Linked DNA regions of Arabidopsis thaliana. The protein of the gene in region 3 binds, or shares a complex with, the protein of the main gene of each other region. Each region holds a gene or a part of one and is shown on either strand. Other genes may lie near its edges.

Region 1 (3,899 bases), about 20 Mb from region 3:
ACAGAAAATTACTATCTGAAAAATATGGAGCCTAAATTTAATTTATGAAATCAGTTTTTAAGAAGATTCTCATAAGGCCCTAGTATCCATGAGAAGACACAAAGAGATGACCGAAAGAAAAAGGAAAGGCAGATAAACGTAGTAAACAAATCAAGAAAGAAGATGTGAAAATAGGGATATTTTCTAATCAGAACATAAGTAAAAATCAAGTGTTGGTTGTCCTATTTACAAAACATGCTCACCCGGTATAATAATCCCTTGGCAGGTAAATGTCCTTGACAGGACCAAACTGCTCAAACGACTTCCTGAGATCTTCTTGCCTGAAGAAAAGGACAAGGAGTAAGAAGAGAATTACAATTTGCTAAAAGCCAAGAAATGAAGATACATTGACGTCAACTTTTTGAAAACCTTTACAGTAAAGATAAGAGAACATCATGCCAAAATATGCTAAGAGGTGTCAAGTCTTCTTGCTTAAGAGGTGTGCAAACAATAACATCATCCACAATGGCTGAAGAAAATAATAGAGAAGTCAAAAGTATGTACCTGCAATCATGGCGTAGATTGCGAACCAAAAGACTGGTCGGGAGGTCCCTGCTACGACCTCCATATCGGCCTCTAGGGCTTGGGCTTCGACCCCTCCTCCCATAACCCCTAGGTGGTGACGGAGTGTAGCTCCTTCCCCTCATTGAGTCAAGCTTCAATCTCTCTATCAGTCAGTCAACACAAACTAGATTAGAAAATACACCAAAAGAGGTTGGATATTTAAGAGAGAAGAGACCACAAACACAAGAGCTATAACACCAGCGTCTAAGAGAACTTTAAAGAAGCAATCAATCTAGAAAGATCATATTTTCTAATTGAATAGTAAATTATATCAAAATAAGATCACATGCAATTCAGGTAGAGATCGAATCAGCTCAATTTCAAAAGATAGGAGCTAAGAAACGTTATATGTGAATAGGCACAAAAGATCACAACTTTCGTCAAACTTACTTAAGATGAACGATTCAATCCTTTATATCGATGTATAGACATAATAATTGCCTGATCTACAGTTTTTTCCGTCACGGGATCTTTCACCGGACTCAAAAAGTTGTACGGGCAACGAAGTTGTTTACAATTGAAGGAATCGAAGTCGGAAAAGCCAAGTTTATTCGACAGAGAAAGAAGAAGATACGGGTATATACGGTTGGGAAGAAGAGCAAAATATCAGGGATAAGACTTACCGGTGAACGAATCTCGGTGGTGAGGAACGACGGAGAAGTGATGCTGCAAGAATTGGAGAAGATTGATCAATGAACGACTTATTTATTAGGGTTTCTTTATATTATTTACGTTTTACATTTAACCCCCTCAAAATTATTTTAAAGTATTAAAATCCCCTTAAAGTTTTCTATTTGATAGATGCTCCATTCCAATTTCTGGTAATTAAATTATCTTCCTTTTTATTATCATTATACATTTATACTTAGTGAGATCAATTATCTAAGAGGAACTAAAAATGTAAAATTCAATAGAATTAAATAGCAAATTGGTGATTTTTCACCAATTGTTGGGTTCTGTTTGTACCTTTTATAATTATTTTGGTCAAAACATAAATCTTGAAACCTTTAGGGAGGGAAATAAAATAATAAATTGTTAAAAGGATACTTCTAGAAGGTTTATCTTATAATGTCTCTCTCTCTCTCTCTCTCTCTCTCTCTCTCTAACATAACAAAGAATTCGTGTTTCAGTTCAATAGATTCTCGTCTCTTTTCGACTTACGACATCAACAGACCGAAGTATACGTATTCGATACGATCTGCGTTCGCGAATTCACGTTTCTGGATTGATTAAGAAGAAGAATTCAAGTCAAGCTGTTGGTATCTACAATGGAAGAACAGTTCATACTTAGGGTTCCACCGTCTGTTTCAGAACGAATTGATCGGCTTTTAAGCGAGGATGCTTCTACTTCCGACGAAATCCCTTTGGATTTGTTTTTTTCAGGTACCAATTTTTAAAGGGTTTCTCTCTTTTTTGGCACATTACATCTGGGTTAAAGTTTCATCCTTTTTCTTAAATTTATGTCCTTTAGTCGTCAATCAATGAAATTAGTGTCTGGATCGTTTCGGGGATTGCTCCTTGTGTCACGTGATGAGTTCTTGAATGTTGGTTTGCCCAAAAGACATTCTTGAATCTGATTAAGGATCAAAGCTTGTGATTTGTGTCTCCTGGATCAGCTTAATGTTGTGAATTGTCTGTTTTGTCAAAGAAGCCAAAAGACATTCTTGTTGCATCATTATAGTTTGTCTAGAAATCCATTTGCATATTGTCTCTGGAGCAAACTTGATACGTAATGTTTGTGTGAACTGAATTTGCAGAGGATGGGAGAAACGGGACGTTTATGATTGGAAACGACGAGTTCCCGGCTTCTCTGCTTGATCTCCCTGCAGTTGTTGAGTCTTTTAAAACTTATGATGATTGTGCATTAGTCAAAACTGCTGATATTGGGCAGGTAAAATCAAGTTACTTGATTCATCTTTTACTTATATGCGTTAACTTCTGTAATTTTGGACTAAAACTCAATATGGATGCTTTGATTTGGCACACAGATGATCATGGTTAGGGAGCCTGGTGATCCTGCGCCTAATACAGTTGAATACAGACATGGTCTAACTCCTCCAATGAAGGATGCTCGAAAGAGGAGATTTCGTCGAGAGCCTGACCTTAATGTAATTTTCATTTGTTGTTATCTATCCATCAACATTGTTTCACTAATACTTGTGATTATGATTGAAAGTCTGTAGTGAAACGTATCTTTTGGAACTCCAAAGTTCTTTCTATTAAGTTAACATATTGATTTGCCAAAATGTTGCAGCCGGAGCTTGTACAGCGGGTTGAGAGAGACTTGTTGAATATATTGAGTGGCGGAACGGTAGAAAATGTAAGCTTTTCTTTCTATTTTCGACACATGATGTGTCTATATTTGCTCCTTGGATTTAGTAACTTCATTTATTTGAACTTTTTTTGGTGTAGGTACATGAGCAAGAGGAACCAGCTACGAACGAGAATGCTAGTAATGCAAGTAAGAAAGTATCTTCTTCTTCACCTACACCTGTTGAAAAGCCTGAAGCTCCTGAGACAGGCACTAGTAATCCAACAGGAGTTGAACCGGAGAGAAGTGAATCAGAAGATTCTGATGATTCAATGTGAGTTTATTATTATATAAAGAGATTTTTCTTACGAAAGCTTAGAGTTTGCGCAAGTCCTGTCTTAGAAAATCATGGATAATTATGTCCCCATGATTTGATGATGTCTTGTTCGACCTTTTTCAATGGAAAAGTTGTTTTGCGTTCAAACTACACCAAAGATTCTGTTTATTCTAGTTCAATTTCGGTTATTTCTTGAAGACAGTTTCAGGAATGAACCAAAGATTGATAGTAAAAGAAAAACCTTAGACTTAAAGAACAAGAACCAAGACATTGTTGATGCTAAACCTATCAAAAGCTGGAATCTAATCCAAACACCAACCATCGCCTTCATTAAACTTTAAGGTTTTTCTTCCGGGTCATTTTCTACAATGCCAAGAATAAGAAAAGAAAATTGACACTCTGCCTAGAAATTGAGATTCTAATTATCGGTCCCTCCATTTTCTATCCTGAATAGTGAATACGTGCAACCATGTCTACCTTTCATTACATACACAATTATGAATTATGTCATTTTTCAAACAAAACAACCCGAAGCTAAAACAAATGTGTAGAGCCTCGTAAGTAGTTGCCGTCACGATCTTCCTCTTCATCTTCTTCGTGTTCTTTCTATAAATTCTTTTTAGTCTTTGTATCAAGAAGCTTCCACAGCTTTTATAAACACTCATTGAGAAGAAAGAAAAACGTCAAGGGATTAGTCTAGGTTTTGGC
Region 2 (6,142 bases), on a different chromosome or scaffold from region 3:
ACATTACAATACATATAACATACATGATACATTATAACACATATGTAAAGGAAGATGCATACCTATGGATGTAAATTTCAGATTGAGTAGTAGAGAAATAGCTATAAAGCTCAGGAGGGATAGCGCCATGGCTCACCAGTGCTGTATGTTTTGTATATGCGTACATGTATATCTGTTGGCGCTATCCATCCTGAGTTCCATAGCTTCTTCTTGCTTATATGTGATTCCTACTTCATTCCCTCCTTCGTTTAGCTTCTTGTATACAAGATATGGTAATGGGTAAGTTTATTATTTGCATGTAAATATTTTACCTTTTTTTATATAGAATTGTTGAAGTTCAAATCATATAGAAAATTGTGTCGAAAGTGAGAAAAATCGCAGGTATTGTCAATTTGAGGTTAAGAACACATTAAGTATTAAATAGTGTGGTCTTACAAGTTACAACTTACAAATATCTGGATTTCACACATCTAAGCAGTTTGTTAGAATTACATTGTTACTGCCTTACTTTTTTTTTTTTTTTTTTTTTTTGTAAATTTATGCTTAAGACTACTGGTGGACTTTTATTAAGAATATGTATATTATCCAATATGTGTGTGAAAGGGATGGTAAATAAGTAATATCGCCGTGTGCTAGAGCCAGCCAGCGATTGAGCTGTGAATATGCAATGTTAGAAGATGGATTCTCTTTGTCGAATTGAGAATGGGAATCTTGAAACTAATGTTACAGGATTCCAAATTTCCTGGATTCTTTCTCTCGTCCATATTTTCTACACAACAAGTCATTAATAAACTTTCTCTTGGGATTTTCGGCATTAGTCTTTTTTGTTCCTATAATTTCAACATAAACTTTCGTTACATGTAACACATTAAAGAGTTGGCCAATCCGGCACTTGACCAAAAGGTCATGACATATACACATAGAGAACTTTACGAGACACCCTTCTCTTTAGTCCTTGGGATCCAGATTGAACGATTAACTATTTATTAACAACGTCTTTTATCCAAAAAAAGGCCACTCATTTGTAAAACCCTAATCCTAATCATAGCCCCAGTGAGTGAAGTTGGCAATAAAATCATCAAGTTGATCTTTGAAAGGTCACTGCATACTTCAGATCAACTGATCAGACACAAGTGCCTAGCCATCCCCCACTCCTGCCAATTCTCGAGGAACACATGTTGCTATAAAAGAAGTTTGCGAGAAAAAACGATAACAACTCCGAAAATTGTAAAGAGAAGTGTGGTTGCCTAAATGAATGCATTACACAATACAACATGAAAACATACGACTGTTTTGTTTGTGTTGAACAGAGTCAAAAAAAGAAGGAAGAGAAGCAAAAAAGGGACTTCTGGTGTTGAAAGAAGTAATCAAGATGAATGCACTCACCTGAAATCATCATAGCACCAATTTGCAATGCATTTTGCAGTTAAATATCAGCTTCCTTCAATAAAACAAAAAACAAACATTTCACATCGTGAAAAACAAACTAAAAATAAACCGGAGATGCATGAATAATAGATCCCCAAAGAAACAGAACAAGTAGGGAGAAAAAAGGGGTAATTTTGCTCAAGGTCAAAGTGAACAAAAACCTACCTCTTTTTTTGTATCTCCAATATGAGGATTCATAGAACATTTTACTAAAATTCCCTCCTTAACACACACAAAACTCTTAGAACACATAACAGCTGATTCATTCATTCCTCTCTTTCTCTCAATATGGACGAGACCGGTTTCCCCCATGGTGGTTTCTGTCTGGCCCTGAACTGTAGTTGTCTCTTCTTCTGTCTCCCCCACCACCACCATAGCCACCACCTCCTCCTCCTCTACCCCCACCTCTGCGACATTCACAAGTTTGCAAGGACAACATTATTAGATCAGACACAGACATCTCTAATTAAAACCAGCTTACTACGTAAGATGAAGTGACTCAACACACAACAAAGACGAGTCTTATAGAGCATGGAAAACCAGATAAAGATACAACTTATATGGGGAATTACTAGGAGCTTATAAGAAGCATGAACAAACAACAGATCTCTTCACAACCAAGAGCAGCCACAGCTATAGGTTACAAGATAACTACATAGATTTATTTCCTATGGCATGAACATAGACCTAAGGCATAATTTGATGACATACGAACTCCCAACCCTTTCTGTCATACCCAGATGAGTGTACAAAGCAAATCCCCAGTAGGATACAAGATCCAAACAGTCTTCAGAGACAAGGAACATAAACTTAGCATTGCAAAAACTCATATTCCCTACTAAAATTATAAAGCTAAAAGCCTAAAACAACTAGAGTACAAACACCTATAAGATGGAGCAGGTGGTAACAGCTAAATGGTAACAAAAAAGAATGCTGATAAATGATCAGGACAGCTACCTCTGGTCAAAGGTAGGAGCACGGGGCGCAGACTTTTCTGCCATCGTTACACTAATCTTGTTCCCCCTCATTTCGTAATCTACAAAACAATCCACCACCATTCACGAAACAGAACTTTTAAACAATTTTAAGCTAGACAGCAATTCCATAGTACATACTGTTGAAAAAGCCGCCTGCAGAGTGTGCAGCGCTGGGATCTTCATAAGCCAGACAGGCGTCACCTTTATAGTTACCCTTCTCATCAGTGTAAATCTTAATATTATAGGGCCACTGATCTTTGTAACCACGCTTCTGCTTAATTCTTCCAACCTAAAATAGATCCAACCAGACACACTTTATCAGCACACCAATAAACATGTACACAAACAAGAACTTAATAACTTATAGCAAGGGAAAGGCTTATTCCAAGATATAAAACACAACAGAAGTAAAAGACCAGTGTTATTACTTGGCCAATGCCACCAAAGAGATCCTTGAGTTCATCAGTTGTCACATCCGGAGGTAAATTAGAGATGTATATTCTAGCATTATCACAATTATCATCACAATCAGCATCGCACTGCTTGACTTTTTCAGTAGCTGCATCTTCATAACTAGCTTCCTGCCGTCGAGGAGCACTACCACCATCATAGCCGCCACTCCTACCACCACGACCACCAGTGCTCGGTGCATCACTGCCATAACCCCCTCGTGGACCACCATATGACGGCGGGCCACCAGAATAGCTTGTAGGCGGGGGAACAGCTTCCATTCCATAACCCGTGGGTGGAGGATAACTTCCAGAACCATCGTAGGATGGAATAGCTGCAGCAGGAGGAGGAGCCTGACCATACGAACCATTTTCCCTCTGACTACCACTACCATAGCTACCACCACTCCTACTTCCACCATCATATCTACTACTCTCATAGCTCCTACCACTATCGTTTCTACCACCACGACCACCCCCACGATCACTGTCACCTCCACCTCGGCTATATCCACCACCTCCACGATCATTAGCACCAGAACTAGTACCAGAAGGAGCAAGTGCACCACACTTGTTACATTCAACTCTCCTTGCAAAGTTCACGTTCCCACAACTATACAAACAGTTTCGAGGGTAAACAATTTCAAAACATGCTCCCACAAAGGAATTCAACAGCTAATTCAATTCATTACATATGCAGAAAGAATGGAATCCCAAATAATTTGCAATCATTACCTGGGGTTGGGACAACGCCAATCTCCATCTCTGCCTCCGCCGCCACTTCCTCTTCCACCGCGATCACCTCCTTGATATCCACCACCTCCACCGCCTAAATCAAAACGAATCATCGAAATAGTGAGAAACTAAAGATTTAACAAAAGTAGCTCAGCAAGGAATGGAGAAATCTAAAGAATCATAAGGTTATATCAATCAGATCTGCAACAATCTAAATCACAAACCTCGATTTCCTCTACCACCGCCTCCACCGTAACCACCGCGTCCGCCGTAACTACCTCCGCCAGAGGCACCGCGTCCACCATATCCAGCATCACCACCTCCATAACCTCCCCCTCCGCCGTATCCATCACCACCGTACGACGGAATAGGCGCACCTCCGCCGCCGTCTTGATTGTACATCCCAGCCATGACCTAGGGTTTGCGATAAACAACAGACCAAAACTCTTAACGAATCGTGTGAGAGCCTTTTTAGACGTAGAATAAAAAATCTCGCGTTTTATTTATATTTCTCTCAAAAATAGTGGAACTTTATTATTGCATTTATCTTAAATCTTAAATTCTTTTACATCTTATCTTTTACCGACCGGTTTCCCAAAATAACTGGACTTGCTTTTTTTATCAAATAAGACAACATGGTTCTAAGGCCCATAATCATCTAACCTTTACGAAGGCCCAGCCCAATAACAGTTATTTTTTACGTAGCCCAATACAGTTTTGAAATGTGGCTATTAGAGAGAAATTAGAGGCAAAATCCACCAAAATTTTGCTATAACTACAACTTTAAAAGAGTCCGGACAGTAGGAACAATAAGAGGAGAGGCCAGCTCTGAAAGAAATTTGGAGTTTGCGAAGATGAATGAGAAGTGTCAAGTTGAATCGAGAACCGGCAATTATCCTCAGAAGGATCAACAGTAGTGATCAAACCAAGTCCACCAAAGTTGCAGCTTTCTGCACTGTGATCATTTTGCTGGTACAAGCTATTGAACGCGTATGAAACGTTGCCTGGCCATCTGATGCCTGAACACGACCCGCCAGGAAGTATCGATGTACAGTCCGCAACAGCACACGCTTCTAATGCTCTTGCTGACGCGTTTGACAAGTCCTTGTTATTGTTCACCACACACCACTTAGGAGGAAGGTACTGAACATTCTGCGCGTTTACCTGATTCTTATGGTTGAAACTGAAATTGTATTTGGCTTGACCGTCGAAAGTGAACACTCCCCAGTGCCTCTCAAAGTTCCCAGCAGATAAGTTTCTCTGATCTTCGTCCAAGAGACTTTCAATGTAGGTTTCAACAGGAGGACGCGGGAGAGAGGCCGTCTTTTTCTCCAAGTGAACTATCAGTCCTTTAAAGAACGCCTCAGCAGTCAGTGATGTTGCATTTTCTGCTCCATCTGTAGGCCAACCGATCTTTGACACAACGATATCCACCTCCGAAAACCCAATTGTGAACAATGCAGAGACAAGTGTGTCATAGCTTAGATCAAAGCTGTTTCTGTAGGTTTTACGTCCGTCTTTGTGAGCCTTTGCTGTTTCTTTAAAGAGGCTAAAGTCAAGGGAGATGTTCTTGTTCTGGTGAAAGCTTAGGAAAGGAGAGATTGTCACAAAAAAAGGAGAGTGGTGCTTTGTGAGAAAGGAGAGGAGTTCAATCATCGTCTTGTTGAGGTCAGCCCTAAAGTGTCCTGAAGAAGGTCGACCAGATTCAGAAAGAAAGGAATCAAAGCTTGAGGGGACTACAACCTTCACTTCATTTGCCAAGTTCGCCTTAACTAAAGCATTTTGGATATTCATAGCTGCCCCAATCACAAAAGGCTTATACTGATTGCCATAGCTCTGGAGAAATGGCTCTTCTCCAACTGCTACATACCTGAAAATCAATTCTTTTCTTTAATGATAATTTCACAATAAGAAGATTGGCAATTTGGCATTGAAACAAATCCGACTCATTCACATTCCATAAGTTAAATTCCAGCTTAAAAATCTTAAATCTATATATATATAACTGGATAAGCAGAAGAGAAGGAGAAAGAAGATACTCGATTCGAACTCTGTTTCCACCGTTGAAGTAACGAGTGACATTGTCATGTACCCAGCTCTCTGCTACCTTTACGGATGCATTCAAGCTCTTGAGCATCGAATTTTGGATTCCGATAGTGACACCAATATTAGAACCAGAGAGAGCTCGGAGAACTTTTGGGTCGGCATCGAAGAGCTTCACTTTGACAATGCCGTTTGATTTCAGAAGCTCTACAACCTTTGAAGGCGGAAGAGGGTGCGACGCTTCTGTCCCCCAATTTATGCCAACTGCTCTGACGGTTGTTCCCGTCAAGCTCAACCCTGCCGTGACGGCGAGGAGGAGGAGAAACAGCCGACGAGCCATCAAATCCAGTGAATCTCGTACTTCCACGATAATGTCGGGCCGAGAAATTCAATGTTTAAAAAAACAAAACACTGCGTGCCGTTTCACGACTCAGCATCTCACTGTTATTTAGCTATCAAAACGACACGGTGTTTAGAAATTGGGCTTGGGCTTCACATTCCCTAATCATC
Region 3 (6,630 bases):
TGAATATAGGAAGGATGAAGGAGTGGACGAAACAATGTCTCCTTTACACTCTATTAAGTGGAATCGTATCATCGTCGATGAGGTCAGTACCAAGACCTGCTGGTTCTTCTTCTTTTCCATTTTCAAGCATGTAAGGAAAGGGGACTGTGAGATTTATTGTACAGTAAACCACAGCAGGGGAAGCTCACTGCAAATTTGCTTTTTGTGAATCTTTTATCCTTCAGGGGAAGCTCACTGCAAATTTGATATAATTCCCGTTTGTCTTCATATCAGGCTCATGATATCAAAAACAGAAGTAGTCGCACTGCCAAAGCTGTTTTTGCTTTGGAGGCGACCTACAGATGGGCTCTGAGTGGTACCCCTCTCCAGAATGATGTTGACGAGCTCTACTCCCTGGTTAGTTACTCTTTCCTCAACTTTTTCTATAGCACGTAATGATATCTCAACATTGCTGATTGTTTGTCCCAGATACGCTTCCTTCGCGTTTCGCCATACTCATATTACTTTTGCAAGAAATGTGACTGTGAAGTTCTTGATCGGAGGTAACATCTTACCACTCTCAATTCCTGGTTACTTTCTCCTTTCCCATACTTCTGTTTGATAGTTCATAACAATCTTTGCTGTTTCATTTCCTTTGTCCATTGCCTTTGGGCTTTGGCGGTGACTGCAGTGCGCATCGAAAATGTCCCAGCTGTCCTCATAATGCAAATCAACACATCTCTTGGTGGAAAGAGGTAACTTTGAGGTGCCATTATTAAAAACATTTTAAAAGCAGGATCACCATTATGTTCTTTGGTTTTTATATTTTCCAATCTTGCTAGAATGTGGACAAACGGAGAAACAGAGCCTGTATATTCCTTAAACAAAATGTTCTAAAGGACATTCTACTAAGACGTACTAAATTGGGCCGGGCAGCTGACCTTGCTCTTCCTTCTAGAATCGTATGTTCCTTTCTCTCCCTTGTCTGATATAAATGAAGCTTGGTATAGTTGCTTCCGAGCTTGATCTCTACATATAAATTTAGATCTCTCTGAGGCGAGATGCACTAAGTGTAGTAGAAGCTGATTTCTATGAATCACTATACAAAGTTAGCAAGACAACATTTGATGGGTAAGTTACTTTTGTTCTATGGATTTTCACTGGTTTCTGCTCCATGCTTTGTGTAAACTGAATTTTATTATTAAATCTGACATGTACATTTGTTTCTGCAGGTATATTCAGGCTGGGACATTGATGAATAACTATGCACATATATTTGGTCTTCTTATCCGACTGAGACAAGTGAGTGGTATCGATAGTTTTGTTGTTCTATTTACAAGCCAGTGCATGTTTTGGATGATATAGGTATATAGATTTCTGATGCATTTTCTTGCAATTTTTTCAGGCTGTTGATCATCCATACCTGGTGAGTTATTCTAGTCCTAGTGGCGCTAACGCTAACTTGCTTGATGCGAACAAAAATGAGAAAGAATGTGGTTTCGGCCATGACCCTTCCAAGGACTACTTTGTAAGTGTTCCAGTCGATATATTGTTGCTATTTCATACTATCTCGACTCTTGTTTCTCAGTAACTGTATCTTCTGGAAATAGCTGCCACCATTTTACACTTTCTTAAAGAATCATCGGATGACTAATGTTGGACTTAACTTGTTCGGTTAATATGTCTTTGGTTCTCTTACTTTGAAGGTGACTTCTAGTGAACATCAGGCAAGCAAGACAAAGCTTAAAGGATTTAGAGCCTCTAGCATTTTAAATCGGATAAACCTCGATGATTTTAAAACAAGTACAAAGATTGAGGCTTTGGTATGTGCCCTTTGAGATCTACAGCTTCTGTCTCTCCCACGCTTAAAGTTTCTTTGGAGATTGGAGGCTTTATCTAACCATTTGGTGATAAAAAAAATTTGTATGCAGAGAGAAGAAATCAGGTTCATGGTTGAAAGAGATTGGTCTGCCAAAGCAATAGTATTCAGCCAGTTCACATCATTCTTGGACCTGATAAGTTACGCCTTGGGGAAGGTAATTTCAAGCGCAACCAACTACAAAATGCTACTACTACTATATCTGTGCTCCTTTAACATTCTCTTTAATCATAATGAGACATTGAATAAAAATGATTGACTCATTTTGTACAACGCAGTCTGGGGTTAGCTGTGTTCAACTGGTGGGAAGCATGTCCAAGGCAGCTAAAGATGCTGCACTCAAAAATTTTAAAGAAGAGCCAGATTGCAGAGTTTTATTAATGAGCTTGCAAGCTGGAGGGGTTGCTCTAAATCTAACAGCCGCTTCGCATGTAAGAAGTGTACAACTTATAAAACAGTTGCTCCTAGAACATGTTTTATTCACTGACATTCGGGTGTTTGATTGTATAGGTGTTCATGATGGACCCGTGGTGGAACCCAGCGGTTGAGAGGCAAGCACAGGACAGAATACATAGGATCGGACAGTGCAAGCCTGTCAGGTTATATTTTTGAGTTGTCCTTCAATATACTGTATGTTGTTTTGGTGGGGGAAGAAAGAAGAAACATTTGGTTGTGTGACAGGGTTGTAAGATTCATAATGGAGAAAACAGTAGAGGAAAAGATACTAACGCTTCAAAAGAAGAAGGAAGATTTGTTTGAAAGGTTTCTTATTTTAAACGATACGCTTCTCTCAACTTTGCTGGTTTCTTATTGTCAACTGTATGAAGCCTATATGAAGACATATTTGCTTTGTTACAGTACGTTAGGTGACTCTGAAGAGGCCGTTGTACAAAAGCTGGGAGAAGACGATATCAAGTCCCTGTTCGCATAACCAAATCTTGTAGATGAAGAACATGATAGAAAATTTGTATAGATAGAAAAAAGAGTCTTGACAGGACAAAATTAGGCTCAAGCTAAAAGATTTGATACATACTTGTGTAATATGATGAGCACCGGATAGATTGTATATGAATCGGATCACAAACTTTTCCTTCTCCCGAAGAATATTGAGCATGAGGCCATGGCCGGTTTGAGCCATACCGTGAGAACTTAGTTACAATGTCGGTCGACTAGTGTACGGGTTTCTGGTTTAGATTATGGGCTGGTTTAATATAAATGGGCCTATTTATTAAGCCCAATTACTTCGTATGTAATGCAATGTGCTTCTTCTACGAGAGAGAGAGAGATCAGTGAACAAGTCCCCGTTTCTTCGTTCTCATCATCTTCATCGCCGATTTTGCAACGACCACCTCTGCTACTCCCGTCGATCAATCTACGGTGAGCTCTCTGCTCTCACTATTCCCTTTTCAATTTTCATTCCTTTTCCATGACGACAAATATTTGGATAAAGAACCTTATTCGATTTAACTCCGTTGGTTGTTGTACTGTACCGGAATACAACTTTCCGGTAGCTCTCTGGTTTTGATTGCGGTAGAAATCTAGAATATAGGCTCGGAATTTCATTTTCTAGTTGAGATTACACTGTTTTTTCTTTTTTGAAAATTTTCACCTAGGGTTAGTATTTGACTCAATTGGATTTTGTCGGTAGAGGAATTTCACTTATTTTTCTATTATTTTGCTCTCCTGGATTTTGATTATCAGAAGAAGAAGAAGAGATGAGTAACACACCAGCAGCGGCGGCGTCATCATCGTCTAAATCGAAAGCTGCGGGAACTTCTCAGCCACAGGAAAAGCGCAAAACTCTCTTTCAAAAAGAATGTAAAGTCTTTAGTTAAAACCAGATTTTTGTATTCTTCATTTTGTGATTCTTCTGGTAACAATGGTTTTGGTGCTTTTGTTGATTTTTCAGTGCAGCATATGATGTATGGATTTGGCGACGAGCAAAACGTAAGCCGCTATCCTCTTCATTACTATTTTGTTGCCATATGAACCGTATTTGTAGATATAGTTTCATTCCAATACAAGTAACGAATTAGGTAGAGAATCTTTGCTTTAAAGGGTTCTTGGTCGTGTAACATCTTTTAGTGTTTTACCACCTGAAACTGATCCAAAACTCCTCTGTATTTAGCCTCTTCCAGAGTCTGTGGCGCTTGTAGAAGACATTGTTGTGGAATACGTCACAGATTTGGTAGTGAGCTTTTTCTTTTTGTGAATGATTCATGTTTTACATTACAAGCGGAGAGATATTAGCTAACAAGTGATGTTTCAATGGCAGACACATAAAGCTCAAGAAATTGGTTCAAAGCGAGGAAGACTTCTAGTTGATGATTTCTTGTATCTTATCCGCAAGGTAAAAATTCTTTTTAAAAAGTACACAATCGATGATTGAGATGGTTTATGGTTTTGTATTCTATATCCGAAACTTTGGCGTCTTTGATTTATGCAGGATTTGCCAAAACTGAACCGCTGTAGAGAACTGTTGGCGATGCAGGAAGAGCTGAAACAAGCACGCAAAGCTTTTGATGTCGACGAAAAGGAACTCGTTGATTGATCTTGCTTTTCCTCAACGGGAGGAACAAATGCTAGGTAAGAGGAACCTCATGGATGCCGGACTAGGGACAGCGTTTTAGGTTGTAATCAGAATTCGAAGCACAGTAGCAAAAAAAAAGTGTGTTGACTTAAAAAAGGTGAAAAAAAATCTTGCACAAGGCCGACTCATATTAAATGTAGGCCCATTAGAAGAAAGCCCATTATCTAGCATCCCGTATATATCTACGGACGACCTTTAATTTTTCTTGAGTCAGGAATTTCGAAACCCTAAAAATTTAGAATAACCACCCGATTTTTGTTTCTTTCATTAAATTAATTACCGCAATAATTATAAAATTAGTCATCATTATAAGACTTTTGTTTTTCTCTAAATTTTTCGTCATCTTTCTGATATTTTGATTCATTATTTTACCATGGAAACAATAAATAAGAATGGTGATCAATTACCAACTAAAGAAAATCATTGTGATCAATTAGAGATAGAGCAAATAAACAACACGAGCATGAAGAAGAAAAAGTCATCACGTGGGATGCACATGTTCTCCGTCGTCATGTTCATGCTTCGTCGCCGCCGGGGAGAAAACCCTTCAACACCAGGTTCTGGCGGCGAGTCGTTAAGTCCGTACGTAAACTCCGTTTCGAAATTACGATAATGCCATCGTCAACTTTTACTAACACAATTGTTCTCCCTCCGGCTCCTCCTCCTCTGCCAGCGACAGAAATGGGAGGAGACGATGGTGATAATGATAATGAAGATGATGATGATTCCGAGGGTCGTTTATCAGAGACTATGGAGGTTTTCACGGCGGCTTCATCTTCATCATCATCAGGAATCTCGGGATATGGATCAGCCATGTCCTTATATGATGATGATATTGATGAGGAAGAAGATGAATGTTATAGTGATGTGGAAGGAGGAGACGATATGATTGATGAGAAAGCTGAGGTTCTATGCAATAATGAAGATGCAAAATCAGGTTTACACTGATCGTTGCAAAGCCAAAGGGATATATAGTGATGCATTAATGATCTTATTAATTATGGTTCGTATCATCTATCAAGTTTACGTCATCATCATTCAGGTTTTAATTTCTTGGTCATTTTTGGTTTTTGTATTATAATTTAATTTAATTCCTTTTAACTTTTTCTTCATTTTTGTTTCTGTAATTAGTGAGTGTATTTGAATTCATTAATGAGAAAATAGGAGAATGAAGTATATCTACTAAATTCTATTTGTGTTTGTGGGGAATGTTAAATTTGGTTTGCAGATTAAAGATCTCGTTAAATATTTTATGTTCAATGTTTTCAATCGGAAATTGGTCATATTAATAGCACATTTGACCAATTCATTGAATCGAGTTCTTTTCGAAAATTGAAGACTTTGATAATACCAACCGTTTATATTATGCATGGACATATGCGTAAGTGAAAAATCATACTGAGCGATGGTAACAATTACACAGTTGATTCCATTTCGTGAAAAACTCATAGAAACAACGGTGACAAATGAAGTTTCCATAGCCAAGAATTGGATCCTCGCCATACGATTAACCTACCGAGATGAACCAACGGTGATCATCTCTCTAAACTCCAAGACCAATCCTCAAGATGATGCAAAAATCTCGACTCTTCAACTATGCATCAAAACCAAATGCCTCATACTCCAACTACTTCATATGAAACAAAATACCAATCTCGGCGAATGCCTTAGTGATCTATTTCGTGATGAGAGGTTTGTTTTTGTAGGAATAGGTATTGCTAAAACTGTCGCTAAGCTCGGTGGGCTAGTTAGAGTAGTGGTTAAGAAAGTTGACGTTCGTGATCTGGTAAAGGTAAATTTTCCATTTAGTTATGGTGAGAGGTCAAGGGTTAGCTTGAAGGGTATGGCTTGTGAGTTGTTGGGATTTGGTTCGTGGAAACCGAAGAGGGAGATTTGTCCGAGAGACTTGGCTAATGAAGTTCTTGATGTAGAGGTGGTTAAGTTCTTGTCCGTTGATGCTTATGTTTGTCATGAAATAGCGTTTAAGATGCTTAAATACCAGGCCCAATTTATTGTAATCAGATTCATAAAACATTACTTTACTGAGCAAACGTTGGGCCGATATTGGGCTAATTTATATAATAAAGCCTCTTTATTAAAGTCAAAAGACAGGTCAGCATTAGTAATCACTATATTACTAAAATCGCGCTATACCTTTTGTAGACGTTGCGATTTCAAATTC

What was found. The genes of interacting proteins can lie anywhere in the genome.
Region 1: TAF13 (region 3) and TAF7 share a complex: the UniProt entries of both Arabidopsis thaliana proteins name them as parts of the TFIID complex.
Region 2: TAF13 (region 3) and TAF15b share a complex: the UniProt entries of both Arabidopsis thaliana proteins name them as parts of the TFIID complex.

What each region holds. Positions count from the first base shown.
Region 1 is NC_003070.9:20,627,463-20,631,361, reverse strand, and holds TAF7 (TBP-associated factor 7), read left to right. Parts: upstream 1-1,669; 5' UTR 1,670-1,871; coding exon 1,872-1,986; intron 1,987-2,360; coding exon 2,361-2,494; intron 2,495-2,591; coding exon 2,592-2,711; intron 2,712-2,857; coding exon 2,858-3,208; 3' UTR 3,209-3,339; downstream 3,340-3,899. Other genes in the region: SCL33 (SC35-like splicing factor 33), read right to left, coding at 243-320, 544-686. UniProt on the Arabidopsis thaliana protein: TAFs are components of the transcription factor IID (TFIID) complex that is essential for mediating regulation of RNA polymerase transcription.
Region 2 is NC_003076.8:23,636,855-23,642,996, forward strand, and holds TAF15b (TBP-associated factor 15B), read right to left. Parts: upstream 4,120-6,142; 5' UTR 4,001-4,119; coding exon 3,814-4,000; intron 3,684-3,813; coding exon 3,590-3,683; intron 3,468-3,589; coding exon 2,834-3,467; intron 2,695-2,833; coding exon 2,544-2,694; intron 2,465-2,543; coding exon 2,386-2,464; intron 1,836-2,385; coding exon 1,712-1,835; 3' UTR 1,594-1,711; exon of another isoform or gene 1,442-1,593; 3' UTR 561-1,441; downstream 1-560. Other genes in the region: AT5G58480 (O-Glycosyl hydrolases family 17 protein), read right to left, coding at 4,373-5,459, 5,629-5,972. UniProt on the Arabidopsis thaliana protein: TAFs are components of the transcription factor IID (TFIID) complex that is essential for mediating regulation of RNA polymerase transcription.
Region 3 is NC_003070.9:577,511-584,140, forward strand, and holds TAF13 (TBP-associated factor 13), read left to right. Parts: upstream 1-3,114; 5' UTR 3,115-3,235; intron 3,236-3,559; 5' UTR 3,560-3,573; coding exon 3,574-3,676; intron 3,677-3,767; coding exon 3,768-3,805; intron 3,806-3,986; coding exon 3,987-4,046; intron 4,047-4,133; coding exon 4,134-4,208; intron 4,209-4,304; coding exon 4,305-4,409; 3' UTR 4,410-4,800; downstream 4,801-6,630. Other genes in the region: AT1G02670 (P-loop containing nucleoside triphosphate hydrolases superfamily protein), read left to right, coding at 1-82, 274-396, 469-542, 671-734, 822-941, 1,025-1,110, 1,212-1,281, 1,385-1,507 and 6 more. UniProt on the Arabidopsis thaliana protein: TAFs are components of the transcription factor IID (TFIID) complex that is essential for mediating regulation of RNA polymerase transcription. May be involved in polycomb repressive complex 2 (PRC2) mediated repression.